Linked DNA regions of Struthio camelus. The protein of the gene in region 2 purifies or fractionates together with the protein of the main gene of each other region. This does not show direct contact. Links are inferred from orthologs where the notes say so. Each region holds a gene or a part of one and is shown on either strand. Other genes may lie near its edges.

Evidence for each region.
Region 1: the proteins of SAP30 (region 2) and ING2 purify together in Homo sapiens (affinity purification with mass spectrometry; 3 studies listed by BioGRID and IntAct, counting the BioPlex papers as one, with this or other methods). This does not show direct contact. The link is inferred for Struthio camelus from reciprocal best matches to the Homo sapiens genes SAP30 and ING2.
Region 3: the proteins of SAP30 (region 2) and MTA2 purify together in Homo sapiens (affinity purification with mass spectrometry; 3 studies listed by BioGRID, with this or other methods). This does not show direct contact. The link is inferred for Struthio camelus from reciprocal best matches to the Homo sapiens genes SAP30 and MTA2.
Region 4: the proteins of SAP30 (region 2) and SAP130 purify together in Homo sapiens (affinity purification with mass spectrometry; 4 studies listed by BioGRID and IntAct, with this or other methods). This does not show direct contact. The link is inferred for Struthio camelus from reciprocal best matches to the Homo sapiens genes SAP30 and SAP130.

What each region holds. Positions count from the first base shown.
Region 1 is NC_090945.1:50,693,068-50,700,656, reverse strand, and holds the start of ING2 (inhibitor of growth protein 2), read right to left. Parts: upstream 3,016-7,589; 5' UTR 3,003-3,015; coding exon 2,813-3,002; intron 1,886-2,812; exon of another isoform or gene 1,832-1,885; coding exon of another isoform or gene 1,810-1,831; intron 1-1,809. UniProt on the Homo sapiens protein: Seems to be involved in p53/TP53 activation and p53/TP53-dependent apoptotic pathways, probably by enhancing acetylation of p53/TP53. Component of a mSin3A-like corepressor complex, which is probably involved in deacetylation of nucleosomal histones.
Region 2 is NC_090945.1:46,426,797-46,433,750, forward strand, and holds the start of SAP30 (histone deacetylase complex subunit SAP30), read left to right. Parts: upstream 1-3,942; 5' UTR 3,943-4,054; coding exon 4,055-4,381; intron 4,382-5,597; coding exon 5,598-5,720; intron 5,721-6,954. UniProt on the Homo sapiens protein: Involved in the functional recruitment of the Sin3-histone deacetylase complex (HDAC) to a specific subset of N-CoR corepressor complexes. Capable of transcription repression by N-CoR.
Region 3 is NC_090976.1:523,459-530,791, reverse strand, and holds the start of MTA2 (metastasis-associated protein MTA2), read right to left. Parts: upstream 3,019-7,333; 5' UTR 2,888-3,018; coding exon 2,860-2,887; intron 1,184-2,859; coding exon 1,116-1,183; intron 1,017-1,115; coding exon 923-1,016; intron 764-922; coding exon 646-763; intron 528-645; coding exon 464-527; intron 372-463; coding exon 254-371; intron 164-253; coding exon 61-163; intron 1-60. Other genes in the region: EML3 (echinoderm microtubule-associated protein-like 3), read right to left, coding at 3,873-4,052, 6,541-6,671, 6,758-6,856. UniProt on the Homo sapiens protein: May function as a transcriptional coregulator. Acts as a component of the histone deacetylase NuRD complex which participates in the remodeling of chromatin.
Region 4 is NC_090950.1:6,535,385-6,542,458, forward strand, and holds the start of SAP130 (histone deacetylase complex subunit SAP130), read right to left. Parts: upstream 3,020-7,074; 5' UTR 2,709-3,019; intron 2,027-2,708; 5' UTR 1,827-2,026; coding exon 1,763-1,826; intron 1,305-1,762; exon of another isoform or gene 1,171-1,304; intron 663-1,170; coding exon 525-662; intron 1-524. Other genes in the region: UGGT1 (UDP-glucose:glycoprotein glucosyltransferase 1), read left to right, coding at 6,521-6,645. UniProt on the Homo sapiens protein: Acts as a transcriptional repressor. May function in the assembly and/or enzymatic activity of the mSin3A corepressor complex or in mediating interactions between the complex and other regulatory complexes.

The DNA.
Region 1 (7,589 bases), about 4.3 Mb from region 2:
ACAGCAATACATAACAGAGAAAGGAATTGCTAAAGTGAAAAGAACTAAATTAACCTCAGAGCTGACAGTGAAATCTGATGCACTGTGTTAGATGCAGTGTATGTTTCTTCAAAAACTTAAGAATTTTATTTGAATGTGCAAACGAATTTATTAACAACACTAAACGAATATAGTCTCTTTCTACAGAGCAGCTTTTTACAAACTGGCTTTTATTTTTAAGTAATTTTGTCTGCTTTGTACAACTGTGAAATGATTCAAACTTGCACTAAATAGAAACCACAGGTATTATCTCCTTAGCATTGTGCACAGTGGCTTTTTTTCATGCTGACATTTTGAAACAGTGGTATTGCAGGAACAGTCACTTCTTACTGTAAATTCTGAAATCTGTATGACAACAGAAGTCAATAGCATTTTGGTCTATTCCAGACTTTCACTTGGGTAAGATAAAATCACTGCTGCGCCAGCCCAATAACTCAACCTATTTCTTCTGAATACTAGCATTGCAGCTATCATTACAAACATGACCGTTGTTTCCATGCACCTTCAGCTGCACGTCTTGCCTGTTGCCCTGACAGGGAAGAAAATCTCATTCTCTGCTCCTGAAAAGTGCAGAGTAAGGTATTTTGTAAGCTGTTGAACTAGAAAGACATAACCAGAGTACAATATGCTGCAGCCACATTATCTCCTACCCAGACTTTTTTTGTGAGAGGAAAAAAAAAAAGTGTACTTGTAGTTACATAGATTTTCCATATAGGGGATGCCCTGCCCGAAAGAACCCACAAATAACAACTGTTCTTTTTCCACAGAAAAAGAAAACAGAGAACAAATTTGACTCTACTGAGGCTTTTTTTTTTTTTTAGTTTGTTATTCTCCGGATGTATCCCTTGATATTTACCTGCAGATAAGACAAACATGCAAATCAATCACAATCAGGACAACCTCCCATCCCATTCTCCAAACAGTGGCCAAATTTCTCACAAGGAGAGAAGAGAGAGAACTTTTGGACTGACAGAGATGCAAGTTTGCCAAACTCGCTCATTATTTCCCAAGATTAGAGAAAGCATCCATAGGCCCAACTAAGTAGCTCTGAAACCCCTGTTAAAAAACCAGGACCAGGCGTTATTACAGATAATCTGATTAAGTTTGGTGGAGCTAAAAGGATTTCAGTTTTCCAAGTCCAGGAATGACTCTGGCCCTCCCACATGAACTAGCACTACCTTTTAAGTTAGCCAAAATCATATTAGCAGCACTTTTAGAAGATCTTCAGACTTAGGCCTAAAATATTTTTGTCACATTCTTATGCTTTTTTTCTTTCCTTTTTCTGAACAGATGTAGCTGGGTAAAACTAAACTAGGTTTGTAGGTAAAACTCTACAAACCTCTGCTTTGGCCCAGTTTCACATTAGTGGCTGGAAGAATACATATTAAAAGTATAGGCTAAATAAGAGATTAACTTTATTTAATACAGATTTAGAGTGCTGGCTCATAACCAAATCACCACAGGTTGCACAAAGAACTTGGTAAGCAGTCCAGCCATGACAAAGAATTCAAAATACTGCAAACAAGCCTATGCACTTCAGACTTTAAGAAAACTTACAAAAGCCTGTTCTTATGTATCTTCCTGGGTAATTAGGAAGATAATTGAAAGAATCCATTTACAATAGCTGTCTTCTGAGGTGCTTTATTTAACCTCTGAAAGGCCTTAACGGTCTCTTCTTACCCAAATTTAAGAAAGCCTTCTATTATAAAGGGAAATTACAGTATATTGTAATCTCCAGTTCTTATGCCATAGGACCAAATTCCTACTCACTTGTACAGTGGGTTGATGTCATTTGGTCTCTGCTGCATATTTCAAGTAATAAAGCTATTCAGTAGTAGATCCTATCCTATTAGGATACCAGCAAGAATTAGAAATAAAAAAAAAATACCACAGCTGAGAGAGTTAGGCAGAATGGATTTAATTCCCATTTAACCTGCAATTTGGAAGAAGCGTTTTTTTTGACTAAAGTTGACGGTAACTTGCCACAGGACAGATTTTTTTTTCCTTTCCCCTCCGTGAGCTGTTATCAAAGGGAGCACAGCTAACTTCCTCATCCAGTCGGCGAGCGCTGAGGGCCAGCCGGGAGCCGGCGCGCTAGCGGGGTAAGCCTGCGCCCTTCCAGCCGCGCCGCTCGCCCGCGGCTGACATCCTCCACGCGTGGGCGGTGCAGCGAGAGCCGTGGGATTTCCAAAACCCGATTTCTGCATTCGCCTCGCCGGGAGCGCGACCGCTGGGCGCCGCGGCGGGGTCAGGACAAACCTGCCGGGGCTGCTGGACTTGACAGCGCTGCAGGTAACTCAGGCGGGAGGACGGACGGACAGATGGACACCTGCCCGGGCTGGGAAGGCGGGGGATCGGGGGGGGGGGTTCACTGCTGCCTCTCTGGCTTCGGAGTCTCGCACTGTACCTCTCGCTCAGAGAGGTATTTCCTTTGGGGGGGGGGGGGCACAAAAACCGACAGAGCCGGCCCGCAGAGCGCCCCACGCGCGGAGGCGGGTTTACCTGCTGGCCGGGAGCCCCGGCTGGGCTGGGGCCGGACGGGGCCTAGCGGGGCCGGCAGCGCCCCCCGGGGCCGCGCCCCCCTCCCCCCCAACCGCGCGCGTGTCCCACCCCCGCCGCCCCGCCCCGCCCCCCGCCGCGGAGCCGGGCCGGCGCCAACAGCCGGTCCGGGCCGCCGCGCCGGGCGCATGTGCGGCGGCGGCCTCGCCCGCCCTCCTCCTCCTCCTCCTCCTCCCCCCCCCCCGCGCCGTCCGGTGCCCGCCGCGGCGCCCACCTTGGCACTGCGTGTCCATCTCCCGCAGCAGCGACACGTTGCGCTGGATATCCAGCGGCAGCGACTCCACGCACTCCAGGTAGTCCTGCACGTAGAGCGAGAGGAGCCGGGCCCGCTCCCCGCCCGGCGCCGCCGGCCCCGCCACCAGCTGCGGCCCCGCCAGCATCATCCCCCCGCGCCCGCAGCACATGCACCGCGCTGCGCTGCGCTGCGCCGTCCGGCCCGGCCCGGCCCGGGGGCGACCCCCGTCCCGCTCCCCGCGGCCGCCGCCCCTTTGCCCGGGCTGTGCCGCGCTGCGCCGCCGGCCGCGCCGCCCCGCGGGGCAGGGAGCGCGCCTCGGCCTCGGCCGCCGCTGCCGCCGGCTCCCCGCGCCCCTTCCCGCCCCGCCGCCGCCGCCGAAGCAAAACCCACTTGGAGCCCCCGCCCCTGGCCGCTAGGTTACGCGCATGCGCGAGGCCCTGCCCTTATAAGGCGCGGCTGGAGGCGCTGCGAGGGGTTCGCATTCTCCCGCCTTCCTCCCTCGCCCGCTCCCAGTGGCCCGGCGCGTGGCAGGGGGCGGGAGCCACCGCGGAGGCGGAGCCGCTCTTAAAGGCGAAGGCGCCCGCGTTCGTCCCTTCCCCGCCCGCCCCGCGCCCGGGGCGGAGCGGCGCCGGCGGCAGGCGGCTCCCGCTGCCCGCGGCAGGCGGCTCCCGGCTGCCGGAGCTTCCCCGCGTCCCCGCCGCGCGGTGGCGGCGCGCAACCAAGGGGTGGCAGGCGGGCGGCTGGGCCCCGCCCCCTTCCTCCCCGCCAGGTGCCCCGGCGGCCGCCGCGTGTGGGCGGGGGCGGGCGGCCGTTGCCTGGGCGGGGCGGGGCGGGGCGGGGCAGGGCAGGGCAGGGGGTTCCCAACGGCCGCGGCTCGCTTCGCTCAGCGCTGGGGCGTCGCGGCCTGGCCGTGCCGGGCCCCGGGCTACTTCCCCCCACCTCCCCCCCCGACCCCGGGGGCCGCGGGCGCGCTCAGCCCTGTTTCTAGCCGCGTCAGCTCCAGGCGCGGTGGAAGGGAAGGCGCTGCCGGGGGCGGGCAGTCCCGTTTCACCTTCAGCTTCCCTCAGCCTCTGCCCGCCGGCCGGCGAGCGGGCCGCCGGGGTTACGAGCGTGGCAGGTAGGGCGGGCTCCGCCAGGAGGAGCTTTAAACTCCCTTCCTCAGTCAGCACCCCCCTCTCCCCCCCGCGTTTCTTCACGCTGCCCCAAACGCGCCCCCTCCTTGCGGCGGTTGAGGAACTTAAGCGCTCGTTCCAGCTGTCGCGCGTGGCGTTTGTTTGAACGCGCAGGCGAGGAAACCGCAAGCTGGGTTTTCAGCCGTTATCCAGACCCTTCCCAATTTCTGAGGAAGTAATACCAAATATAACCGAGCAAGCACAGGGCTGTGGGGGTGGGTACACTCCTTTTAGGAACTCACGCTCGTATGGTGCTATGAACATATCAAGAAGGCAGTAGATGTCACCTTTTGCAACTTACAGGCTCATACCAAAAGACTGGCAACTCAGTAACAGGTCAAAAAAGTTGATGTTTACTGCCGTTTAAGTTTTTTATGTGATGCTAAAGCCTTACCCTTTCTTTGCACTGCCCTCTCACTTGCTTGGAATGCTTTTTGGCATATGAAATCGTAATTCGTCAGTGCTGAAGCTTAATCTCTGAAAGCGCTCCTTTGCAAAGGCGGTGTGCCTGAGAGGAGGGGAATGGGAGTAAGTTTTACTGCAACAAAATTTATATGCACATTAAATTGTTTGCAGATGGTGTGTGTATTTATCTCCCGAACATTATTGTGAGCTATATTTGTTTCTGTAACAATTTATTTCTGAAGAGCAGTTCTCATCATGAGGAGAGGTTTGTACCAACAGCACGGTTACAGACTAGATGCAGGGAAGGTAGGTTACTTTCTGTTACGCTAGAGTGTGCTCCAAAGGCAAGTTTTTATCACAGTAGCAGTTGATATGCCGAGACATCCAATTAATTCATCTCCCTGAACTGTAAGAAGCAGTGGTTTAGACTGTTCTTGCCCACAGTAAGAGCTACCTTATTTAGCTTTAAAGAGCAAAATAATGATTCATGATAAACTATTACTTATGGAAGTGCAGTGACATTTTATCCTGAGGAATCATTTGAGAGAATTTTAAATAAGGCGTCAAAGAAGTTTAGTCTTTTAAAACCCGCTTGCCTGCCAACAAATCTCCAGTTTTGACAGAGTATCCTTCCTCCCCAAGGGCTGATGCAGAATTTGTATCAAGTGTTGGCCACGATAAATATGGTAGGAAATACAAGTAGAAATATATGTACTCTTGAGCTCTAGTATAATTGGGAAAAATGGTATCAAGTAGTTTTAATTACTAAAAGATTGAGATTTCATCCCTATCACCCCTTCAGACATTTTAATGCCATCTTTACTGCATGAATAATAATTGGTGAGCATCAGAAAAAAAATCTTGTGGAGTCTTGAAACATAGCCAGGAGACCTGTACCTTTTGCTGTATGTTGCATTTATATTTCAGGTACCTGAAAAAAAGGGAGAAGACAAATATGAAATCTTGCAAGCTTTGAAAAAACAGCATCAGAGGTGACTGAATTCAAGGGGAAAAATAAATACCTTATGTCTTACTTTCCTGCATGTCGGTAAGCAGCCAGTACTAAAAGAGTACCTATATTAATCCTACAGATAACATTTCAAGATGGAATTAATCTAGAGTAGTGGTTGAGCACTGATACAGGTTTCCCAAGAGGTTATATAGTTTCCATCCTTAGAGATTTTCAGAGCCTGGCTGGACGAGGCCCTGCACAACCCAACTGAACTGTGAAGCTGGCTGTGCTTTGAGCAGGGGACCGAACTAGATGACCTCCAGAGGATCCCTTCCAGTACGCTTTTTTCTATCACTATGTGAATGTGTGATCTGTGCCAGATGGCTAATCCTGTGACAAAATGAGTATGTTGAACCTCAGATTTCCTCTGACGAGCAAGGTCAGCATTTCGCGTGGTGGCACTCTGCAAGTGTTATTTTCTTAAGACTCCAGTCTTACGAAAATTTTCTTAAGACCCCAGTGCAGGAAAGTATTTAAACATGCTCTTAACGTTCAACTCCTGCAGCTGCTAAACTGGTTTCCCATGTAACAATAATTTTCTGAATCTATGTCTTAGATGTTGAGTAATTGTAGCTGTAGATAGACTTCTTTTTCTCTACCAGAGCCAGCAATGAGTTGGCAAATATATAAAAATGAATCAAAAACAGTGATTTGAAAATACTGTCTACAACTTTGTTATGTCGGTGATGTCACTCACTCTGGCCAAGAACACAGGAAGTCTGCAACTCAGTATATTCACGTTCTTAAGAGTACACTGTAACATTAAAAGCCATATGCCAGTAAAACTAGATCCTTGTCTTCTGTCATAGCTTGGATTAATGAATTTAAATTTCAGATCAGATTGTGCTGTTTGTCTAATTTTTGAATAAATGGACATAGAAAATGAAAATAATCTAGCTACTTTCAATTCCTTTGACAGTAAGTTGCTGAAACTTTATTCTACAGTGATCATTGCTGTCGGTTCTGAATCACTAAAATCTAGTCAGTTGAATTCGTTCGTATGACATGAACAACAAATGGCACTTACTACCCAGGCAGAAAGAATTACTTAATAGTGCAAAAGAACCCGGATTAATATCAGTGATAGAAAGTTCTGTAGAAATATGTTGGCTATTTTCTGTCTATAGTAAGCTCAAATATCTGTATCATTCTACCACCTCATGAAGAAATCAAACCAAGAAACTGAAAATTACACTACAGAGCAGTAAAATGAAGCAACAAAAGTTAATTAAAAATTAACATGTGAAAATAAACATTTAATTTTATTTAACGTTTAATTACAAATTTAATATATTTACTTGGCATCACTTTTTTCTGACCAGAAATTATATATGCACCGCTGGTAAAGTAATAGTCAAGAAAGTCGTTTTAGAATAACTCGTAGAGTATATTACAGGTGGTTTCTGTGCTGGAAACTTGCTAACTGTTTGTCACTACGGGGGAAGCAGTATCTAAGGCACAGCAGAGATCACCTCGTGTTTCCTGAAATTAAGTGTATTCCACTGCTTTTGAACACTAAATAACGATTTAAATTTTGGGCAATTTGAGAATGCTTTGGTAATATTAAACGAGATTTCCTTGCCAAAAAAAAAAAAAAAAGCCTTAGCTTACCACATGTTTGAGGTTTTGAAGGAAGGAAAGGAAAAACGGCAGGCTGAATCCTCTGGTTTGATAATGCCTCAAAATGACTAGGAACAAGCAGTGGAGAACTTTAATGTATGAGAGAACTCTCAATTTGCAGGTTGATAGCCACCTCCTCTGGGACCCCACTACATCGCCTTTTTGGATGACAGTTTGTGAGAATCATCTGGTGATAAGAGAGGCACAGTAGAGCAAAACACCTTTATTTGTCGAGATGGACAGGCAGAAGGGCTCATAAGTTAAATCAGCTGCCTTCCAGAAGTCCTGCTGATGACAAGGCAGCTTGCCAAACTCTAAAATGGCTGAGACTGCCTGGTTCCCATTGGGTTTAGGAAACTGCTGGGTGTAGGCACCCAGGCAGGGCAGGTGCCCAGATATCCGTATAGGTAGAACCCAACCACTGTAATTATTTCTGGAAGCTAGTCAAGACTGGCAATGGGATTCATGCATGCAACTGCAATAGTTACCACTGACCCTCTCCACTAAGTGAGGTGTTGTCAACGTGAGGTAAACATTTGCAGTGGAA
Region 2 (6,954 bases):
CCAGTTGTGCACCAATTTAACCATTTTGGTTAATGGCATGATTTTCTCTCTTACTGTATTACCTGAATCATATACATCCAACACAGGATGTGTTGGAATGTGCAGAATTGTTAAACCATTTTAAGGATTTTATTTTAAAACATTTGCCAACAGGATAATTTGAGGTGCAGCACAACACTCAGTAAAGTATACCTGGACTCCTAGTGAATGGTCCCTAAAGGGTACCTAAAGGGAAGAGTCACCTCTAATTGAACCCTTATCGTATTAAGATATATATATAGCTACAAAACACATTTCCTTTCCACGATTACTCATAATACATTTACAGCGTGCCAGCAATCTATCCAAAGTGATGTGTCTGCTTATCATTTTTTGTTCTCAAATTACAAGTTAAGCACAAAAGCTAACAGGAGCTGGGACAGACGGCAGTCAAAGAGGCATAAGCTGCTCACTTTCCCACCGGTGCCTGGCTCCCCTCTGTGCCAGCAAGGGCCACTGAGTCCTGCTGCATGCACTTGGAGCCTGGGAGCTGCTGCTTTGAACAGATGCCCTTTTCAAGATACTGTAGCTCCTGTTCCTTCTGCATGCCACTTAAGTTATCTATAATGCATTTTTGGCATCTATGACATAGATTATTACTGCCTTAATTTTCAACTCTGCGTGTGAATATGGCACATAAATGCTAGTGAAGTCTTACACAAAAATTTACTAGTTTGGAGCTGCCATTTCCATGCGATCAGCTTAGTTTTTCAAACTTTTGCTCTAAATACATATTGTTCCAATAATGCATACTTTGATAGGGATATTTGTTTACAATCTCCCAGTACATATATATATAATATAGTTATATCTAAATACTTCTATTAAACACTGCCAGAGCTTAATTTTATAAAATCATACTTTTGCACAAAATGCAATCTAGCAGAATCCATCTATGACATTGTTTTATTCCAAAGGGCCTAACTATGCAATTTGGAAAATCTATCCTGTAGATGGAATTTTTACTCTGCCTGATAAGCCCACCTATCTGCAGCTCTTTGTTAACCTTGTACAGTATGTGGGATAAAAAAATGCAATGACGTGATTTCTGAATTATTTTAAGCTGGCATTGATACCAAAGAAGGTGGCCCTTCCCTGTTCTGGTGCTAGTCAGGCAGTCCTGCCCTTCTGTTGGATCGTCCTTTGTGCTAAGACATCACGCAATTGAGCAGTAAAGGAGATCAGGCTTAAACTTAACTGATTTTCTTTCTGCTGGGCTAGTTTTAACCCAATCCAGTTTGCTCTGCAGCTGTATAAATGCTTTTACAGGCACAAGGAAGGGCATGGAGGGCTTGGGTGTGAAAATGAGCGGCTTATGGCAGAAGGAGGACTGTCTTTCTCAGCCCTACTACTGCCTTATCATGATAATGAAACTATGACACTACTCATTTTGAAATTCAGCTTATAATTTAACATACTGGCCAGCATAGCTGATTAATGTAATAAGGTCTTTAACTGTTCACAGATGATACCAAGATAATTGGGAATACAGATTTAAAATGCGCTACTGATCGTTCCATCTTATGAAACTGCACCAACCAAACCTACTATGCCAAATCTCAACCACTCTTTACCTAGCCTGGTGTGCTTTGTGCTCACAGTAAGGTGAAAACAATCTAAAGAAAGATGGGTCTCAAAAGACATAGTGTAAAATTGCAGGTTTTGCTATTCATGACACAGATTTCCACTGAAGAATTCCTGGAACTCACCCTTGCTCCAGCTTTCCTAGCCTGTACTTTCCTTAGGTAAGCCCTGCTACCATTCTTTTAATATTTTATTATTGCAACTGTTAAAAGGGTCAAATCATAGGAAACTTAAAAAGTGAATTAGATGTCTGTTGTCTGAGATTATACAGATTATACCCAGATACTTCATTTAGACTTCTGTTCAGTTGATAACAAAACAGAGCTTTGGATTTTTTTTGAACTCTAATCTCTCTGAATCTTTGAAATGTGCCTTCTCTATTGTCTGTGACTCTATGCTCAATTTTTTACTTACTGTATCATTCATTCAATTACACTGTTCGAAGTGTAAGTGGGAACCTACCCACATTCTATAATACCAGGTTATGTAATCAGATTAAAAAGCCATCTGCAGCACAAACTGAAGCTGCGTTCTAATCGTGTTCCCCGGCTCACTTAGAACTTTGGCTTACACGGGATCTGTGTCTTGTCAAATCATTCACTGACTTCTCCATTACTCTTCTGATTCTGCAAACTGAAAATGCATGGTAACTGATATGGTTGAATATTTGAGTGATTAAATCATCATGCTTTGAGTACAGTCAGTTCAGATACCATTTCTTAGATTTAAGGGAATATTCATGGCAGTTTGAAAGGAAAGCAAAACGAAACTCAATATTCATTCAGTGCCTATACTTTGAAAGCACATGAAGAAAAATGCATCAAAAGTTTGCATCTTCTGTCACTCCGCAGCCAACAGCAGCACTAGCAATTGGTTTAATGCTAATGCATCTCTCATGTGGTTTTGCAAATTCCTGAAACTAAAAATACTTGCTTTTAACAAGTATTTTCACAATATCTATTTTAGCTGGTCTTATACACAGCAAAGTCCCAGTTCATCACTAGCAAAAGATAACGCAGTGTTAGTTTGTTGTTGCTAAAGTCATCTTTATTCACCAAAAGCCCGTTTAAATAGTAAAATTGGAAGCTTGCGCTGTACATTGGCTTAAGAGATCTTTATGAAGTTATCGCAAGGCTAGGCTCCCCTTGCAGCCGTTTTAAAAACGGCTTTAACATAAAGGACTACTGTCAGTTATTCTCAGTCAACAGACTCAAAGCCACAGGCTGTACAGAGGCTCTCAAAGAGCTCCCAGTTGCAAGGCAACACCGCACATGACAGAAAGCACTCTGCATTCAGTCCAGGGCAACGGGATCTGTTCTCCGACCGTTACTGGAAAAAGGCTGAAAAAGAAAAGAGGCAACGAGATATGCACAGACGTACGGCAGAAAGAAAACAAAACAAACTAGAAAAACCAAGCAAGAAAACCATCCAAGGAAATGCGAGTTAGGCTGAAATGTTACAGCCAGAGAAAGTAAAAGAAAGGCGAGGCACCGCTGAAGAGAGCGAAGAAGTAAGGCGCTGCAGAAACACAGACGTTAGCGAATAGGAAGCAAGGGTGTCTTAACCTTTTGAGGTTGAAGTACGTTTACGCACTCGGCTCAGCAAGTGAAAGTGGCGATCTCTGCCCCTCAGAGAGAAACGCCACCCTCCTCCGCCCCAGCCGGGGAAACGCCGCAGCGGCCGGCCCGGCCGCCCGCTCCCGCCGCCGCACCGCCCCGCACATTTCAAATCTCAACGGCCGCACGCGGCCTCGGCGGAGGAAAGGAGGGAGGCGAACAAGGGCCTTTTAAAAGCAGATCTGGGCCGCTGCCGCCGGGCCGGGCCGGGCCGGGCCGGGCGCGGCCACCTGGCGGCGGGGGAAAAGGAGCGCAGCGGCGAGCGGGCGCCCACCGCCAGCGCGGAGAACAGCCAACAACCACCCCCAACCCCCCTCTCCCGCGTCCGCAGCGCCGTAAAATGGCACTCCGGCTCCCCCGCGGGGCATGTCGGGAACTGTAGTTTTCCCTCGCCGCCGGCCGCGGAGGGGGAGGCGGCGAGCGAGACTACAGTTCCCGCCGCGCCCCACCCACCACCACACAAACATACACATACACCGGCGGGGGAGCGCGCATGCGCAGGGGAGGGGGCGGAGCCGCGGGCAGGTTGCTGTTGTTACATAGGAAACAGCTGAAAAGTCTCCACATGACAGAGGGGGAAGGAGGAAGCGGCGCGACCCGCGGGGCGCCGGGGCCGCGGTAGCTCGGCGGAGAGCGGCAGGCGGGGGCTGCCGGCGGCGAGGTGCGTGCCCGCAGCGCGCGGGCTCGCCGCCCGTGAAGGGGGGGGCCGGAGGGGTCGCGCCCCGGTGCCGCGGCCGAGGGCGGCAGCGCTCCCGCTCCCGCCGCGGCAGTTTGGTGCGGGCCGGGGTCCCCCCGCCGCGGAGTTGGCGCCGGGCATGAACGGGTTCGCCCCGGAGGAGGCGGCGCAGCGAGGGGCAGACCCCGCCGCCCTGGTCGCCGCCGTCGTGGGCAATGCGGGCGCCGCCGTGGAGGTGCCGCCGCCGCCGCTGCCGCCGCCGGGGCTGGGTCCGGCCGCCGCGGGTGCCGGTGCCGGTGCCGGGGCGGGTGGCGGCGGCGGGGCGGGCGGCCCCGGGGCCGGGCAGCTGTGCTGCCTGCGCGAGGAGGGGGAGCGGTGCGGCCGGGCCGCCGGCAACGCCAGCTTCAGCAAGCGGATCCAGAAGAGCATCTCGCAGAAGAAAGTGAAGATCGAGCTGGACAAGAGCGTAAGTCGGGCGGCGGGGGAGGGGGGAGCGGGCCCCTGCCCCGGGCCAGCGCAGCCCTTCTGCCGCCCGGCCCGGCTGGAGGGGCGCGGGGCTCGCCCGTCCTTTCCACGGCTCCGTTTCTTTTTGTTTTCTCCCTTTTTGTTTTTTTTCCCCCCTTTTTTCCGGAGCGGTGCGGTCCGTCCCTCTCCTTCCTCGGCACGCCGTGGAGTTTGGCTGGCGCCGCACGAGTTCAGCCTTCAAGCGCCCTTGGCGGGCTGCGCGGCGGGGCGGGGGGGGGGGGGTTGCGCGCCCTGCCCCGCTCCCTCCGCGCTTCCCGCGGTGTCCGTCCGCGCCTGCTTCTGGCGAGGGCAGCGCTTGGCTGCTCCGCCTCGTGCCGTCGCGTTGCACGTCTGCCCTCTCGCCGCTGCGTCTTCCGCTCGGCAGCCATCAGGCGCCGCCGCGCAGCGCTGCGCGGGGCAGCGCGGGGCTGGGGGCGCCCGGCCCGGCCCGGGGTAGGGGCGGCCGAGGTGTTTCCCGGCGCCCCGAGGCAAAACGGCTGAAAACGCACCGCCGCGTGTTTTGCTGCCGGCGAGGCTGCGCAGCGGCGCGGAGCGCTGCGCCCGCGGCCCCCCCCCCCCTCCTCACGGCCGCGCTGCGCTGTCACCCTGTAAACCTAGCCCCGCTCAGGTCCTTAATTCCGGTTAAAGTCGGCGCTCACCGCTCTGGAAAAAAACGGTTTTTGCACATAAGTAAGAACTCTGCTTTCGAAATGAACGGGTCCTTCCAGAAGGAAACTTTATCCAAAAAAAAAAAAAGAAAAAAAGAAAGCGTATGTGCCGCTTGACCTTGCGTAGGCAGTGGAAGTGAAACAAAGGAGTACAGATGGGAAACGAGAGCTGAAGTCCTCCCGCTTTGGGGCGTTCAGAAGAACGACTGAATCACTCTTGTTGCCTGATGCCTGAGCGCTGACGAGCGGCCGTGGAGATTCATGTGCCTCTGCAGTCCGGTACTACTGAATCAGTCTGCTGCGGCACTTCCCCGCTCTCTAGGCTAAGCGGGTGGCAGTCGTCCGTAGCGTAACACATACCTTATTTAGTGAAATCGAGCAGAAAAGCTTCCTGAACTCAGTTAACGTGACTGTGATTGCTGAAGGGTTGGTTCTGTATGTGCATTTATATCTTAAGTTGAGCAGATACGTGTGTGTATTTGATTGAAAGATGCAGCATTACTCTTTCAGGCAAGACATCTTTATATTTGTGACTTCCACAAAAACTTAATTCAGAGTGTGAGAAATAGAAGGAAGAGGAAAGGCAGTGATGATGATGGTGACTCACCGGTGCAAGACATCGACACTCCAGAGGTAGCTAAATAGCTGTTTTCTAATTGTTATGTTAAGCTTTTTCTTAATGACTACCAGGTCTGCACTAATGCTGCTTTTCCACTGTTACAGCTTTCCTTATTTTGGGGGATGGGGAAAACAGAAGACTCCTGACTCATTAAGTCCTTAGTATAACAGGAGCTGACTGAGTTTTATGAAGTATCTTCTGTATTAATCATGTAGATTAGAATGAACAAAACTCTTGGCTTATTTCTCATTATCTGCTAGTTTTCTCAAAAAAACTGTTTTCAACTTTTTCTTTCCGATGCTTCCTCTCCAGACTTCTACTAGAAGTGATGCTTTGCCACATAGTAGCAAAATCTATCTTCTGCAGGAGCTGACAATTTTAAGGGAATTGCACGTAGGACTTGGGATATAAATGCTTCACTACTCCTGTCCCTCCAATCATTTCTTTCTGGGTGTGAAAACGTGTTGCAGAATAGTTCTTGCAGCTACTCTGTTGCTCTAGTCTAACTCTAATGAGGATAGCTCTATGGTTTTTGTCCCCTGTTCAGGGAGGAGACACTCAGAGTCAGGCAGGAAAGGAGAGGAGGAGGATAGCCCTCTCCCTGTTTGTGTTCTCCACTGGAGGTTTGTGAAACATTGTCACTTATTTTGAAAGTGAACTGCAGCTTTTGAACCTTTTTCGTAGTGTTGGGGGAAGAAAGCACTAGGTTTGTAAGAAGCATGCCATGACCTAAAGCCCTCTTCCTACGTGTGTACTGGATTATTTCTGCTGGAGCCTGGTTTAGCGGGTGCTCTTCAGTGTGATGATTCTGAGCAGAGGCTGTGATTCCAACCTAGTTCCTCTAAGGGATTTTCAAGATGTTTTGGATGTTGCTCATTGAATGTAACTTTGATGGCATCCTCATAGCCCAAATCTGCATACATCAGCCACATAAGTAATACAACTTTGCAAGAGTCGCTGCCTGAAGACATGCAGCTCCAGCTTGAAGGCTCTGACTGGGAGGATCTTGGGGGATTGGGAATGATTTGATGCTAGCCTGTGTTTTTGGCTGTTAAATACGTTGGATCACTTTTCTGAAAGTTCTGTCTAAACTTAATGTGCCATGTGACTTAAGGTAGCTGCCTGGCACAGTGGAAACTGCCACTCTTCAGCAAGCCTGTTTTGCTTTTCAGTACAAGAATTCTAAAACATGTCACAACTTATGAGCATTTCTGGAACAAAAAAAGCAAACTTTTTTAGTGGTACTGC
Region 3 (7,333 bases), on a different chromosome or scaffold from region 2:
CAGCGGCGTACGCCCGCCACCGCCGCCGTCGCCCGCCACCACTGTCACCCGCCGGCTCACCGCGCCACCACCAGGAACTGGTCGATCTGCCGGTCGGTCAGCGGGTTGTCGGGGTCCCACACTTTCATCTCCATCTTCTGCTGGTTCCGGTTGTCCGATTCGCCTGGGGGACGGGGACGGGGTGGGTGGGGGAGCGCAGACCCCCCCCCCACCGCCTTCCTCCACCCCTCCCGGCCCCCCGCCGCCGCCTCACCCTCCGCCAGCCGGTCGGGGATCTCCGCTTGGTACTTGCAGCCGACCCGGATCTCGCCCTGGTCGGCCAGGAGGGTTTTCTGGACGGGGTCGAACACCAGCGAGTAGAAGAAACAGTCCTGGGAAGAGGAAGAAGAGGGAGGGAGGAAGGTGAGGGGGGCACGCAGTGGGCTGGGCCCCCCACCCCCACCCCAAAACGGCAAGGCCTCACCTCCTTCTCCAAGTACTGGCCCAGGATGTCGGTCTCGTTGAGGAGCGTCACGCTGCACTTCCCCCTGCGGGCGCACAGGCCGGGCTCACGGCCCCGCCGCCGGGGAGGGGGGGGGCGCCCCGCTGTCCCCCCCCGCTGTTGTCCCCTCCCTCCTTGTCCCCCCCCCCCGCCGCCGCACGCACCGGATGTGAGTGGCCGGCAGCGACTCGAACTGCCGGGAGAGGAAGAGCTCGCGGTGCTTGAGCTGGTGCCGCTGCTGCTCCGTCATGGCCGGCTGCTTGGACTCCTCCTCGAACTCGCCTGGGCGCAGCGCCGGCGTCAGCCCCCAAAGACGCCTTCCCCCCCCCACCACCACCCAAAAAAACACCTTCCGCCCCCCCCCCACAACCCCACCGCCGTCGGGGAAGGGGCTGCCCCCGCTTGGGTTGGAGGGGGGGACCCCCGGCGCCCCGCACTCACGCGCGTTGCTGTCGGCCAGGCTGTTCAGGCTGCTGGAAATGTCCCGCCGGCGGAAGAGACAAACCACCTTGGCCTCCACGTTGCCATTGGCGGTCTGCGGGGAGGGGGCGCTGAGCGGGAGGCAGGCGGGACCCCCCCCCCCCACACTTCATTTCACCCCCCAGGGCGGGGGGGAAGCCGGGCGGCCCCTCACCTTGTTGAGCTCCTCGATGCGCCGCACCAGGTAGGGGTTGCTGGAGGAGTTCTCAAAATAGACGTAGTCTGCGGGGAGAAGAGGCTCAGGGCGGGGGGCTCGCTGGGGCGGGGGGGCTCGCTGGGGCGGGGGGGGTGTCCCAGCGCAGCCCCCGCCCCGCAGGATGCCTCCGAAACCCGGGGGTGGGGGGGGCTCGCGCCCCCCGCCAACGCCCCTGCTGCGCGCGGGGGGCTCCGTCCGGCTGTTGGGGGGGGGGAACGGACCCCCCCACACACACACACATTGATGGGGAGGGGGCTCCTCTGCCCCCTTCGCGGCCCCCCCCGCCAGCCCCTCTCCTTTATGTCGCGGTTGTGCTCCTCTAACAGCTAAGGGCGCCCCAAAATGGGGGGATCCCCCCCCCAAGGATCCCCCTTCCTCCCCCCTCAGATTCCCCCTCCCCCCCCACAACGGATCCCCCTTCCCTCCTCTAACAGTTAAGGGGGCCCCAAAATGGGGGGATCCCCCCTTTCCCCCCTACAACGGATCCCCAAAATGGGGGGATCCCCCTTCCTCCCCTCACGGATCCCCCCCCCCGGATTCCTTCTTCTCCCCTCCGGATTCCCCCCCGATCCCCCTTCCCCCCCTCACAAATCCCCCCCCACAGACCCCCCCCGGATCCCCCTTCGTCCCCCTCACAGACCCCCCCGATCCCCCTTCCCCCCCTCACAGATCCCCCCTCACAAATCCCCCCCCTGGATCCCCCTTTCCCCTCTCACAGACCCCCCCCACAGACCCCCCCCGGATCCCCCTTCGTCCCCCTCACAGACCCCCCGGATCCCCCTTCCCCCCTCACAGACCCCCCCCCCACAGACCCCCCCGGATCCCCCTTCTCCCCCTCACAGACCCCCCCCGGATCCCCCTTCGTCCCCCTCACAGACCCCCCCGATCCCCCTTCCCCCCTCACAGACCCCCCCCCTCACAGACCCCCCCGGATCCCCCTTCTCCCCCTCACAGACCCCCCGGATCCCCCTTCCCCCCTCACAGACCCCCCCCCCACAGACCCCCCCGGCTCCCCCTTCTCCCCCTCACAGACCCCCCTCGGATCCCCCTTCGTCCCCCTCACAGACCCCCCCCAATCCCCCTTCCCCCCCTCACAGATCCCCCCTCACAAATCCCCCCCCTGGATCCCCCTTTCCCCCCTCACAGACCCCCCCCACAGACCCCCCCGGATCCCCCTTCTCCCCCTCACAGACCCTCCCCCCACAGACCCCCCCAGATCCCCCTTCTCCCCTTCACAGACCCCCCCAGATCCCCCTTCCCCCCTCACAGACACCCCCCCCCCACAGACCCCCCCGGATCCCCCTTCTCCCCCTCACAGACCCCCCGGATCCCCCTTCTCCCCCTCACAGACCCCCCCAGATCCCCCTTCGTCCCCCTCACAGACCCCCCCCGATCCCCCCCCGCCCTCACAGACCCCCCCCGGATCCCCCTTCGTCCCCCTCACAGACCCCCCCGATCCCCCTTCCCCCCTCACAGACCCCCCCCCTCACAGACCCCCCCGGATCCCCCTTCTCCCCCTCACAGACCCCCCCAGATCCCCCTTCCCCCCTCACAGACCCCCCCAGATCCCCCTTCCCCCCCTCACAGACACCCCCCGATCCCCCCCCGCCCTCACAGACCCCCCCAGATCCCCCTTCGTCCCCCTCACAGACCCCCCCCCGATCCCTCCCCGCCCTCCCGCCGCCGCCGGCCCCTCGCTCACCGCCGACGCGGTACATGTTGGCCGCCATGGCCGCTCGCTCGGCCGCGCTACCCCCGGGCCCGACCCGGGCCGCGCTTCATCGCCTCCCGCCGCCTCCCGCCGCCGCCGCCTCCCGTCGCCTCCGCACCGGCGCGACCCGCTCGGGCAGCTCGGGAGGGGGCTCGGCGCGGCCGCGGGCTCGGCGCGGCCTCGGGCCCTTCCGCAGCCGCCTCGGCTCTCTCCGGGCCGCGCTCGGCTCTTTCCGGAGACGCTCGGCTCTTTCCGGGGCCCCCTCGGCTCTTTCCGGGCCCCGCTCGGCTCTTTCCGGGCCCCCTCGGCTCTCTCCGGGCCGCGCTCGGCTCTTTCCGGAGACGCTCGGCTCTTTCCGGGGCCCCCTCGGCTCTTTCCGGGCCCCGCTCGGCTCTTTCCGGAGCCCCCTTGGCTCTTTCCGGAGCCCCCTCGGCTCTTTCCGGGCCCCCTCGGCTCTTCCCGGGCCCCCTCGGCTCTTCCCGGAGCCCCCTTCGGCTCTTTCCGGGCCCCTTCGGCTCTTTCCGGGCCCCGCTCGGCTCTTTCCGGGCCCCGCTCGGCTCTTTCCGGAGCCCCCTCGGCTCTTTCCGGGGCCCCTCGGCTCTTTCCGGAGCCCCCTCGGCTCTTTCCGGAGCCCCCTCGGCTCTTTCCGGGCCCCGCTCGGCTCTTCCCGGGGCCCCCTCGGCTCTTTCCGGAGCCCCCTCGGCTCTTTCCGGAGCCCCCTCGGCTCTTTCCGGGGCCCCTCGGCTCTTTCCGGGGCCCCTCGGCTCTTTCCGGGCCCCGCTCGGCTCTTTCCGGAGCCCCTTCGGCTCTTTCCGGAGCCCCCCCGGCTCTTTCCCGACCCCCCCTCGGCTATTCCCGACCCCCCCTCGGCTCTTTCCCGACCCCCCCCCCGGCTCTTTCGGGAGTCCCCTGGGGCCGCTGCGGAAGCGGCTCGGGAACGGCGGCGGCGAAGGAGGGAGGAGCCGGAGGGTGGCGGTGCCGCCGGGTTTTTATTGGGGCGGGCGCTAGGCGGGCTCGGGGCCGTCGGCGGGGCCGGGCAGGGAGCGGCGGCGCGGCCCGCCCAGCACCCGCCACTGGAAGACGCTGGTGTCTTTGCCGCCCAGCGACACCAGGTGCGCGTCGTCGTGGCTGAACCGCACGTTGGTCACGTGGCTCCCGTGCCCGCCGTACACGTGACTCGGCGCCTGCGCGCACGGCCGTCGGCACCGGCGGATGGGCCGGGGGGCGGGGCGGCGAGGCCACGCCCGCGCGCCGCCCTCCCTGCCTCCGCCCCCCCCCGCCCGCCCGCCCGCCCGCGCGCATGCGCACGAGCCTGCTCGCCCCGCGGCCGGCACGCGCCGCCCGCTCTGCGCCTGCACGCGCCCACGCGCGTCCTTCCTGCACGCCCACGCGCGTCCTTCCTGCACGCACGCGCACACGCGTGTCCTTGCTGCACACACGCACACGTGCATGATGTGCTCGTGCACACGCCCACGCGTGTCCTTCCTGCACGCACACGCGTGTCCTTCCTGCACACACACACACGTGCATGCTGTGCTCGTGCACACGCCCACGCGCGTCCTTCCTGCACGCACACGCGTGTCCTTCCTGCACGCACGCGCCCACGCGCGTCTTTCCTGCACGCCCACGCGCGTCCTTCATGCACGCACACGCGTGTCCTTACTGCACACACACACACACACACACACACACACACACACACGTGTCCTTGCTGCACACACGCACACGTGCATGCTGTGCTTGTGCACACACACACACGTGTCCTTCCTGCACGCACACACACACGTGTCCTTCCTGCATGCACACGCCCACGCGTGTCCTTCCTGCACGCACACACGCATGTGTGTGTCCTTGCTGCACACACACATGCACACGTGTGTCCTTCCTGCACACACACACACACGCGCGTCCTTACTGCACACACACGCACACGTGTGTCCTTGCTGCACACACGCACACGTGCATGCTGTGCTCGTGCACACGCCCACGCGCGTCCTTCCTGTACGCACGCGCACACGCGTGTCCTTCCTGCACGCACGCACACACACGTGTGTCCTTGCTGCACACACGCACACGTGCGTGCTGTGCCCCTGCACACGCACACACCTGTCCTTCCTGCACACACACACACACGCGCATGTGTGTCCTTCCTGCACACACAGGCACACACGTGTCCTTCCTGCACACGCACACGTGCATGCTCTGCTCATGCACACGCACACGCATGTCCTTCCTGCATATGCACACACGTGCATGCAGGCTCTCCTCGTGCACACGCACACACATGTCCTTAATACACACACACGCGCGTGCACGTGTCCTTCCTGCACACACACACACACGTGCATGCATGCTCTGCTTGTGCACACGCGTGTCCCTCCTACACACACGCACACGTGCATGCTCTGGTCGTGCACGTGCACACGCGTGTCCTTCCTGCACACACACATGCACACACACACACACACACACACGCATGCAGGCTCTGCCCATGCACATGCACACGTGTGTCCTTTCTGCGCACACACGCATGCATGGTCTCCTCGTGCACACGCACACGTCCTTTCTGCACACGCATGCATGGTCTCCTCGTGCAGACGCGCACACGTGTCCTCCCCACGCGCACACACGCACACATCTTTCTCGTGCATGCGTGCTCTCTTTGTGCACATGCACACGCGTGTCCTCTCTGTGCACACACGCTCTCCCCGTGCGCACACGCACGCGTGTCCTCCCTGTGCACACATGCCTGCACACATGCACACACACACACTCTCCCCGTGCGCACAACCATGCCCTCCCTTTGCACACGCGTGTGCGCGCGCTCCCTTTGCAAACGTGCTCCCGCCGCCTCCCCCCCGCAAACCTGTGCCCGTGCGCGTGCATGCACCGCCCACACGCGTGTGTGTGCACCCCCCTCCCCGCACACGTGTGCATGCACCCCCCCCGCACACGCGTGTGCGTGCACCCCCACCCTGCACACGCGTGTGCGTGCACCCCCCTCCCCGCACACGCGTGTGCATGCACCCCCCTCTGCACACACACGTGTGCATGCACCCTCCCCCTGCACACGTGTGTGCGTGCACCCCCCTCCCCACACACGCGTGTGCGTGCACCCTCCCTGCCCGCACACATGTGCGTGCACCCTCCCTGCCCCCACACGTGTGCATGCACCCCCCTCCCCGCACACGCGTGTGCATGCACTTCCCTCCCCGCACACGTCTGCGTGCACCCCCCTCCCCGCACACGTGTGTGCGTGCACCCCCCCTCTGCACACACACGTGTGCATGCACCCCCCTCCCCACACACGCGTGTGCGTGCACTCCCCTGCCTGCACACACGTGTGCGTGCACCCTCCCTGCCCGCACACATGTGCGTGCACCCCCCTCCCCGCACACGCGTGTGCATGCACCTCCCTCCCCGCACACGCGTGTGCGTGCACCCCCCTCCCCGCACACGCGTGTGCATGCACCTCCCTCCCTGCACACGCGTGTGCGTGCACCCTCCCTCCCCGCACACATGTGTATGCACCCCCCCTCCCTGCACACGCGTGTGCATGCACCTCCCTCCCCGCACACACATGTGCGTGCACCCCCCCACCCGCACACGCGTGTGCATGCCCCCCACCGCCCGCACACGCGTGTGCCCGGCCCACGGGCGCCCCGGGCTGACCTTGGGCCGGGCGCAGGGGTACTGGAAGAGATGAACCTTGCAGAAGTCGTCGGCCACGGCCACCACGCGCTCGTCGTGCGAGCGGCACAGCGAGTTGATGTCGGTGCCGTCGGAGCCGTCGGGCCAGACGCCTGCGCGGGGCGCCGTGAGCGCGGCCGGGGGGCCGGGGGGGCGGGGGGGGGGCACACGCACACGCGTGCACGCGCGGGGGCCCTACCGAAGACGTGGAAGCCCAGCACGCAGGTGTAGGTGGCCCACTCGCGGTCGCGGCTCTCGAAGCGGTTGCGCAGCAGCTTGCAGCCGCCGGCCACGTCCCCTGCGGGCCGGGGGGGCGGAGGGAGGCGCCGGCGGAGCGTCCCCCCCACCCCACCCCGAGCCCCCGCCTTGGAGCCCCCCCCCCCAGATCCCCCCCTGAGCCCCCCCGAGCTCCTTGGAGCCCCCTCGAGCTCCCAGAGCCCCTCTGAGCCCCCCCCGGAGCCCCCTTGAGCCCCCCCAGAGACCCCTTGAGCCCCCCCGAGCCCCCTTGAGCCCCCCCGAGTCCCCCAAGCTCCCCTGAGCTCCCTGGAGCCCCCTCGAGCCCCCAGAGCCCCTCTGAGCCCCCCCGGAGCCCCCTTGAGCCCCCCGAGTCCCCCCGAGCCCCCTTGAGCCCCCCGAGCCCCCCTGAGCACCCTGGAGCCCCCCCAGAGCCCCCAGAGCCCCTCTGAGCCCCCCCGGAGCCCCCTTGAGCCCCCCGAGCCCCCCCGAGCCCCCTTGAGCCCCCCCGAGTCCCCCAAGCCCCCCTGAGCTCCCTGGA
Region 4 (7,074 bases), on a different chromosome or scaffold from region 2:
TTGAAGTGAACAGCATATGCTCACTCAAGTGCCATGAAGTCTCACGTTAAATACATAGTATTGAAAAGTACATGGAGTAGCTGAAGATTAAAGCAATCAGAGCATCAAAGCATCACCAAAAAAAGTTATATACATGTTTATATGCATACATATTTATATCCCACCCCACCACCCAAAAATCACCTCTGGTAGCCTAGCAAAACCTGTAGGGCCAACGCAGACTGGGATTAGGGCTCCTGCCCCATTTGCTGCTGTAGAAAGAGTTCCTAAATCACTAATCAGTTCCTCTGCTAAAAACATACTGAAAAATACCTCAAGGAAAGGCAGACAGTCAACCCCCCGCACCCCCCAAAAAAGGGAGAAAAGCAACAGTTCAGGGCTGAACGCTGCTTGTCAGGGCCGGCAACTACACCGACTGCCGCACCGCCCCCCCCCGGGACCAACGGCCTTCCGCGCGGCCCTTCCACCGCGGCGGGGGGCGCCACGCGCAGCCGCCTTCGCTTCCCGAGGCGCCGCCCACTTACCGGCGGCGGCGGCGGCAGCAGCAGCGGGGTTGATGAGGCCGGCGGCGGCGCTGGCGGGGAGGGGCGGCGGCGGCGGCGCTGCTCCCAGGCCGGCGGGCGGCGCGCCCGAGCGGGGGAACTGCTGCGAGCTCATGGCACCTGCGGGCATCGCCGACCGTTACATGGCGCTACCGGCGCGGCGCGGCCCCGCCCCGCCCCCCCGCGCCCGCCCCCGCCCCCCCGCATTGGGCGCCGCGCGAGCGGCCCCGCCAGCCCCGCGCCAATGCGGCGCGCCCCGGCCCCACCAGCCAATCGGGCGCGGGCCTGCGCCAGCGCTGGCGGCCAGTGAGGAGCCGTCCCGCTGATGACCTCACGCGGCGGCGAGCCAATGGCAGGGAGGGCGGCGCTGGCCCATCGGGGCGGGTCCTGGCCGCCCCGGGCCCGTCTCCGCCGTGCGGGGCGCGCAGGGCCCGGATGTTCCCCCCCCAGACGGCGCCGCGCCCGCGGGGCCGCCCGCGCCCCTGCCCGCGCCCGCGGCCCCTCCACAGCGAGAGGGAGAGCGAGCGCGGCCGCGGCGCCCCCCCTTCCTCCGCCGCTCGCCCCGCCGCCGCCCCCAGCCCCGCCCCGGAGCCCCCTCGCGCCCCGGCCGCCCCGCCGAAGGCGCTACCTGCCCCGCGGGCGGCGGCGGCGGCGGGACCCTCGGCGGCAGCCGTAGCTGCGTCTTCCCGTGACACCGACGCTGCAAGCTGAGCCGAGCTCCGCTTCCGCCGCTGCGCCTGCCCCCGCCCATTGGCTCCGGCCGGCCCCACCCCCCAGCGCTGCCCCCGCCCCATTGGCTGCGGCAGCCCGCGCCGCCCAGGGGCTCCTGGGAAACGTAGTGCGTGCGCCAGCAGGCCAGGCGGCGGCGGCCCCAGCCCCGGCCCCGGCCCCGGCCCCGGGCGGGCACACGGCGCCCCGGTTCCGCCGGTGCGGCCTGGCGACGGGGTTGGCTTCTCCCTTTTCCTTCCCGAACCCCAACGCGCACAGAAGCCTCTGGGCGCTCAGCCAGGGCGGCTTCGCTGCGCGCGCGGCCACACCGACCGCCCGGCGCTCTCCTGCCTCCAGGCTCAAAGATGCAGCCAGCCAATCAGCTGTAGTTTTCGGAGCTGTGTTCATGGTTTAAAATTAAACCAGAAAGAAAACGTTTTAAATACAGTATTACATTTGAGCAATCCCTAATTTTGCTTTGCAAGGCCTTTGTGCTTGCGTTGTGAACAAACCTGAAAAGGGGCGCTGAGAAAGCTGAGGGCGTGGACGGTGGTTAGGGTCAGCTTGGAAGGGCATCGCTGTGCAGGACCAACACGAGCCAGGACTACCGACTAGTCCTGCGGCTTTGACCTCGGTCTTGGGACGCTGCCCGCAGCCTTGTCAAAGTTAACTTGCCTGGCAGTTAATACAGCCCGGCCGGACTTTCAGCTTCGGAGATGTGCCGTTCTGCCCTCTCCCCACTCTGCTCCCTGGGGCTCAAAACGATCTTAGTAACGCTGTGAAAGGTTCAGAGAAAAGTGGCTAACACAACCCGCCATGGAGCGTGTGAGGAACACCCGAGCAGAGCCAGAACCCTCAGCCTGGAAAAGAGACTGTTAAAGGGCACTTCTGACAGTAAGATCACGAATGGCATAAAGAAGGTGATTAGGGAACAATTGTTTTGTGTCTGTCCCATGCTGCTTTAATTCCCCTCTCATACTTGCATTGCTAACAGTAAACAAACTAAAGAAGTGGTTCTCCACACAAAGCCCGAGTGAGCCATGGAAGTCCTTTCAACGGGGGAGACGGCTCACTCGACAAACTCATGAAAGACGCGACGCAGATGCCACCTCTGCCTCTGGAATTACCAACTCTGCAAACCCAGGCTGAGCAAGTACTCTGGAAAAGCGCTGCCGTGCGTTTGCCCTGCCTTTCACTCTTTCCTAGCCCTATGGCCCTTGGCTGCGTTAGGGACATGATCTCGGACTAAACGGGTCAGCGTAAGACGTGAGACCCCGCACGCGAACGGGATGCGCACAACAGCGCAGCAATATACACGGCGGCACGGGATAAAGGAGACTCGTGCCGGTCACAAGGCTGCTGAAGGCGCGAGGGATTTCGGAGCGGGGGGTGTGCACAGCCAGCTTGTCTCCCTCCCTCGCTCGCCACGCAGCGCTGCTCTCCCTGCGCCGCTCTTACTTGCTGCTCCGCAGGTCCCGCACGTTACATCCGGTGCGGGGGCTCTGGAGAGGGCCGAAAACAAGGCCGGCCTCGTCCCGCTGACCGGCCCGCTCGGCAGACGCTGGCCCTTGCTCCTCTAGGGCTCTGCCTGCCGGCGCCTCGGACTGACCGCTGCCTTCTCAGAGCCGCCCGCCGCGGCTGCTGCAGCTCTGTGCCGGGCCGCGGTCGGCGGTGCCAGGGAACTCGGGCTCCGCTGCCCCGCGGGGCTGGGCCGGGCGGGCAGGCCCCGGCAATGGCGGGCCGCGTCACGGAAAGGGGAAACCGCCCCGGGGGGGGGGCCTGGCCGCGGGGGCTCCGGCAGGCAAACGCCCTCGCGGCCGCGGCAGAGCCCCGCGGCAGGCAGGCCGGCGGCCGGCAGGCCGAGGAGCCGCGGGGGGCTCGCCGCCACCCCTCCCAACATGGCGCCAGGCGACAATCTGGCGCCGCTCCCGCTGTAACTCTATGGCCACGGGGAGGGCCGCCTCGCCCGGCAGCGGAAGCGCAGCGCCCGGAAGCCGGGGCAGCGGCGAGAGGCGGAAGGGAGCGTGGCGGCCGCTCGCAGGTGCGGTTACCACGGCGACCCGCGCCCGCCGGGCCGGTGATGTGGCGCGAGGAGGGGCCGGGAGCCGTTGGGCGCGCGGGGCGGGGGAGAGGGCAGGAGCCGCTGGGCGCGAGGCCGGGGCGGGAGCCGTTGAGCGCGCGGGGGGACGGGGCAAGAACCGTTGGGCGGGGGGGGGGGAGGAGGAGGCGGCAGGAACCGTTGGGCGCGCGGGAGGGGGGGAGGCGGCAGGAACCGTTGGGCGCGCGGGGGGGGGGGGAGGCGGCAGGAACCGTTGGGCGCGCGGGGGGGGGGGGAGGCGGCAGGAACCGTTGGGCGCGCGGGGGGGGGGGGAGGCGGCAGGAACCGTTGGGCGCGCGGGGGGGGGGGGGGAGGCGGCAGGAACCGTTGGGCGCGCGGGGGGGGGGGGAGGCGGCAGGAACCGTTGGGCGCGCGGGGGGGGGGGGGGGGAGGCGGCAGGAACCGTTGGGCGCGCGGGGGGGGGGGGGGGAGGCGGGGCGGGCGGAGCCGCGCAGCAGGTGCCGGGCGCCGGGACAGCCCTGCCCGGACGGCTGCGGCGTTCGTCGCCGGCGAAGGGGCGCAGCTCCCTGGGCCCGAGGGATGGTCTGTCAGTCAGTCGCCGTGTTGGCGGGGGCTGGAGGGAAACAGCTTTTTTTCCCTTTTCTTTTTTTCTTTCTTTTTTTTTTTTTGTGAATCACCTGTACCTTTGAGAACGTCTGTGTTACCGGTCGTTATTCAGTTACTGCAGTTCGCAGCAGAAGTGGTGTGCTGCGTATCAGGTCCTTATGAATACCGTCTGGATGGTGACTAGGAGCTAAAAGAGATTATTGCTGATCAGAGCTCTTCCAGTGTGTGATTTTGGACTAGTCGGTTAAACATCGTGCTTTAGTGTCAGTATCTGTGCTAAGGAAACGTGAGAGCCACATTTAAAAAATGTTGACAGAACCCTTCATGACACTCTGGTCATCTTCACTGTTCGCAGTGAATAATTGTTCCAAATGCTAGATTCGGGTGGATACCTTACGTTAGTTTTCCGGTCTTGGCACTGGGAGTTGGCTTCTCTTTCCAAGCAGTAGGACCTTTTCAGCTTACCTTTACTCGGCACACTCTGTAGCACATGATGAAGTTTAGTGCCCTCGCGATATGGCAGGGCTTGTGAGCGTGGGATGATTTATTTCCTTCTCTAAGGCAGGATGTGCACGTTTTCCAGAGGTAACTGTCTTTTCAGTTAATTTACTGGAGGAAAAATAAGGACTAAAAATATTTAAAAAACAAATCAAGCTTGAAAAATCCACTTTAGTGTCTTAATTCATATTATTTGTTTGCTTCGTTATCCTGCGCAGAACACGGCTGAACATCCTTAAGTCATTTACGTTCACTCCTGTGCCTTTTACCGCTTCTGTTCTCCATGGTGTATTTCTACTTTTGTTCAAGATACTGGTCTTTGCTTTGTTTTATGGCCCTATTAATCAGGGTGTATAGATGTTGCTAATATGCAGGTTTTCAGTCAACTAAAACAATTAAGATGCTGTCTTAAAACCACTCACCTGAAGATCTGCGTGTTGCATCTCTGTGTCAGAGGTATCTCCTCCATATCTGTCAGCTGCCTGTCACAGGCTTGTGCTCCGACGTGTGCTCTTTAGATGGGATGAACTGTCCTTTTTTCTATATTATATAGAGCAGAGTCTTTGTTACAGTCTTTCACAGAGTAGGGAGTCAGGCCCACGGGTCTTAAAGAGCAGCATAGGACTTTTATTGGAAGAGTACAGTAGGAGATATTTATTTGCATGTTCCAAACTACTGTGTAAAATTTGTAACGGATAAGGAGGACCAAATTCTGGGAGAAATTGCAAATCTTGTCTTTGTCGTGTTTGGAAGTCAAGGACTTACTCCACAAATATTGACGGGCTTCCTCCTCTGCAAACAATATGTTATAGCTTTAGCTCTTCAAAGTCATGGTATGCCATCTGGTCCGCTTCCCAGGCGTGCTGCAGCATAACACAAGTCTAGCACGCAGCTGAGCAAGGTGTATTATAATGGGGTATTTGTACTTTTATTCTGAAGGAAAGATGCTGAGATACAGAAAGAGCAGTGGGTGAGTGATTGCTCGTGAACTTACACCTGGAATAGTGTAATTTTTAAAGTGAGTAGGATGAGGTTGTCTTATTTTATAGCTCTTCTTATGTACAGATAGAACTATAGGTACGGATATATAACATGTATGCAAAAATTGTTTGTACATAGCACCATAAAAAAGAGGCAGAAGTTAGGTCCTTACAGGTTATCAGTTGTGATATCCTTGGAATTTGACTGGATTGTTTTTTTTCAGTTGGAGGGGAAAAACAGAAAAGGAGCGATCCAGAAAAATAAAGATTAAAGTGTGAAAGAGTGCCTGTGCGTGTATTTGGCTGTGGAGTAAATATATTATAGTCAAAAATTTTTAAGTTTTTGAAGGATGAAACAGAAAGCTAACAGAAAAATTCATGTCTTTGCTAAGCCTAAGAGTTGAGCAGGGAAATTCCGCTTAGCTGCACTGTGGTGAAGAGGTCAGAGGATATGTAGGCATGAAAGTACAAGTGAAGGTTAAAGAAGAAATGGCATTATTTTTTTCTGGCCTGTTTCTCACCCTAAGTTGTATCATTTGAGTCTGTCTTCATTCATCCATTGGCCTTCGTTTTTCAGTTTCTAGAGTTGGTGGTACTTAGTGCATCCAAGAAATGCTTGTTTCTTCATTCCCCAGTGAGGAAGTCTGCTGTACCCAGCTGAACCTAAAGGGCTGACTAGGGAACCTTAACCTTGCCTCCTCCTTCTGACACTGGTGAGTACATCAGCTGATACATCTGTGCAAATACAAAGTATCACTTTAACTGATCCTAAAACTAATAGTTAGTTGGTTGATCTTCCACCTAATTTGAAATATAAACTGTTTGTAAAATCCCTTCCTAAGGCAAGTTTATTTGACAGAATAAATATACAGGAAACTGGAATAGGTTTGACTGCAGCTCAGGAGTTTGATTTTAAAATCCTTGTCTCTTTTTCCATGCTCACAGTCCCCCCAGGCTTAAAAATCAAAAATACTATGATTATCTCATTGATTTATTGCACAAACCAGGCCACTGAATCTTGACTATGTCATAATATATTTGGATATGTGAGATTCTATATTTATAAAAAGAGATGACGTGAGACTAACGTTTTTTTCCTCCGACTTGTTTAGGTTTTTTCCTATAAAATGGGAATACTTATTGCAGTCCTTGGAATCTGGTTCAGCTCTTCACTTGCCAAAGGAGATTCCAAGGCTGTGACAACATCTCTAACTACAAAGTGGTCTTCAACTCCTTTATTACTTGAAACAAGGTAAGCGTGCCGTTATTTTCCTTCACAAATCCGAATGCACTTAAAGGATGAAATAATATATTCTCTCTGGGGCTAAAAATGGTGAGTTTTTTTGTTTTCTTTTGGTGCATCCTACAAGATTATTATGTGATATGTGTCAGCTGATTGTAAACGTTCATGTGCGGTGTCGATCTCTTTGTCCAGTTTGCAGTAGAGATTTTTATTTCTGTTCCTTGGGACGCAGACCTCTTCTTGTGTTTCTGTCGTTATATAATGGGCGCTCTTTTGCGTACCAGCCTGTGAGCAGTGGTTATGCTTTGGAACAGGTTGCCCAGAGAGGCTGTGGAGTCTCCATCCGTGGAGATAATCAAAAGCCATCTGGATGGGGTGCTGTGCAACCTGCTCTAAATGAACCTGCTTGAACAGGGGGGCTGGACTAGATGACTTCCA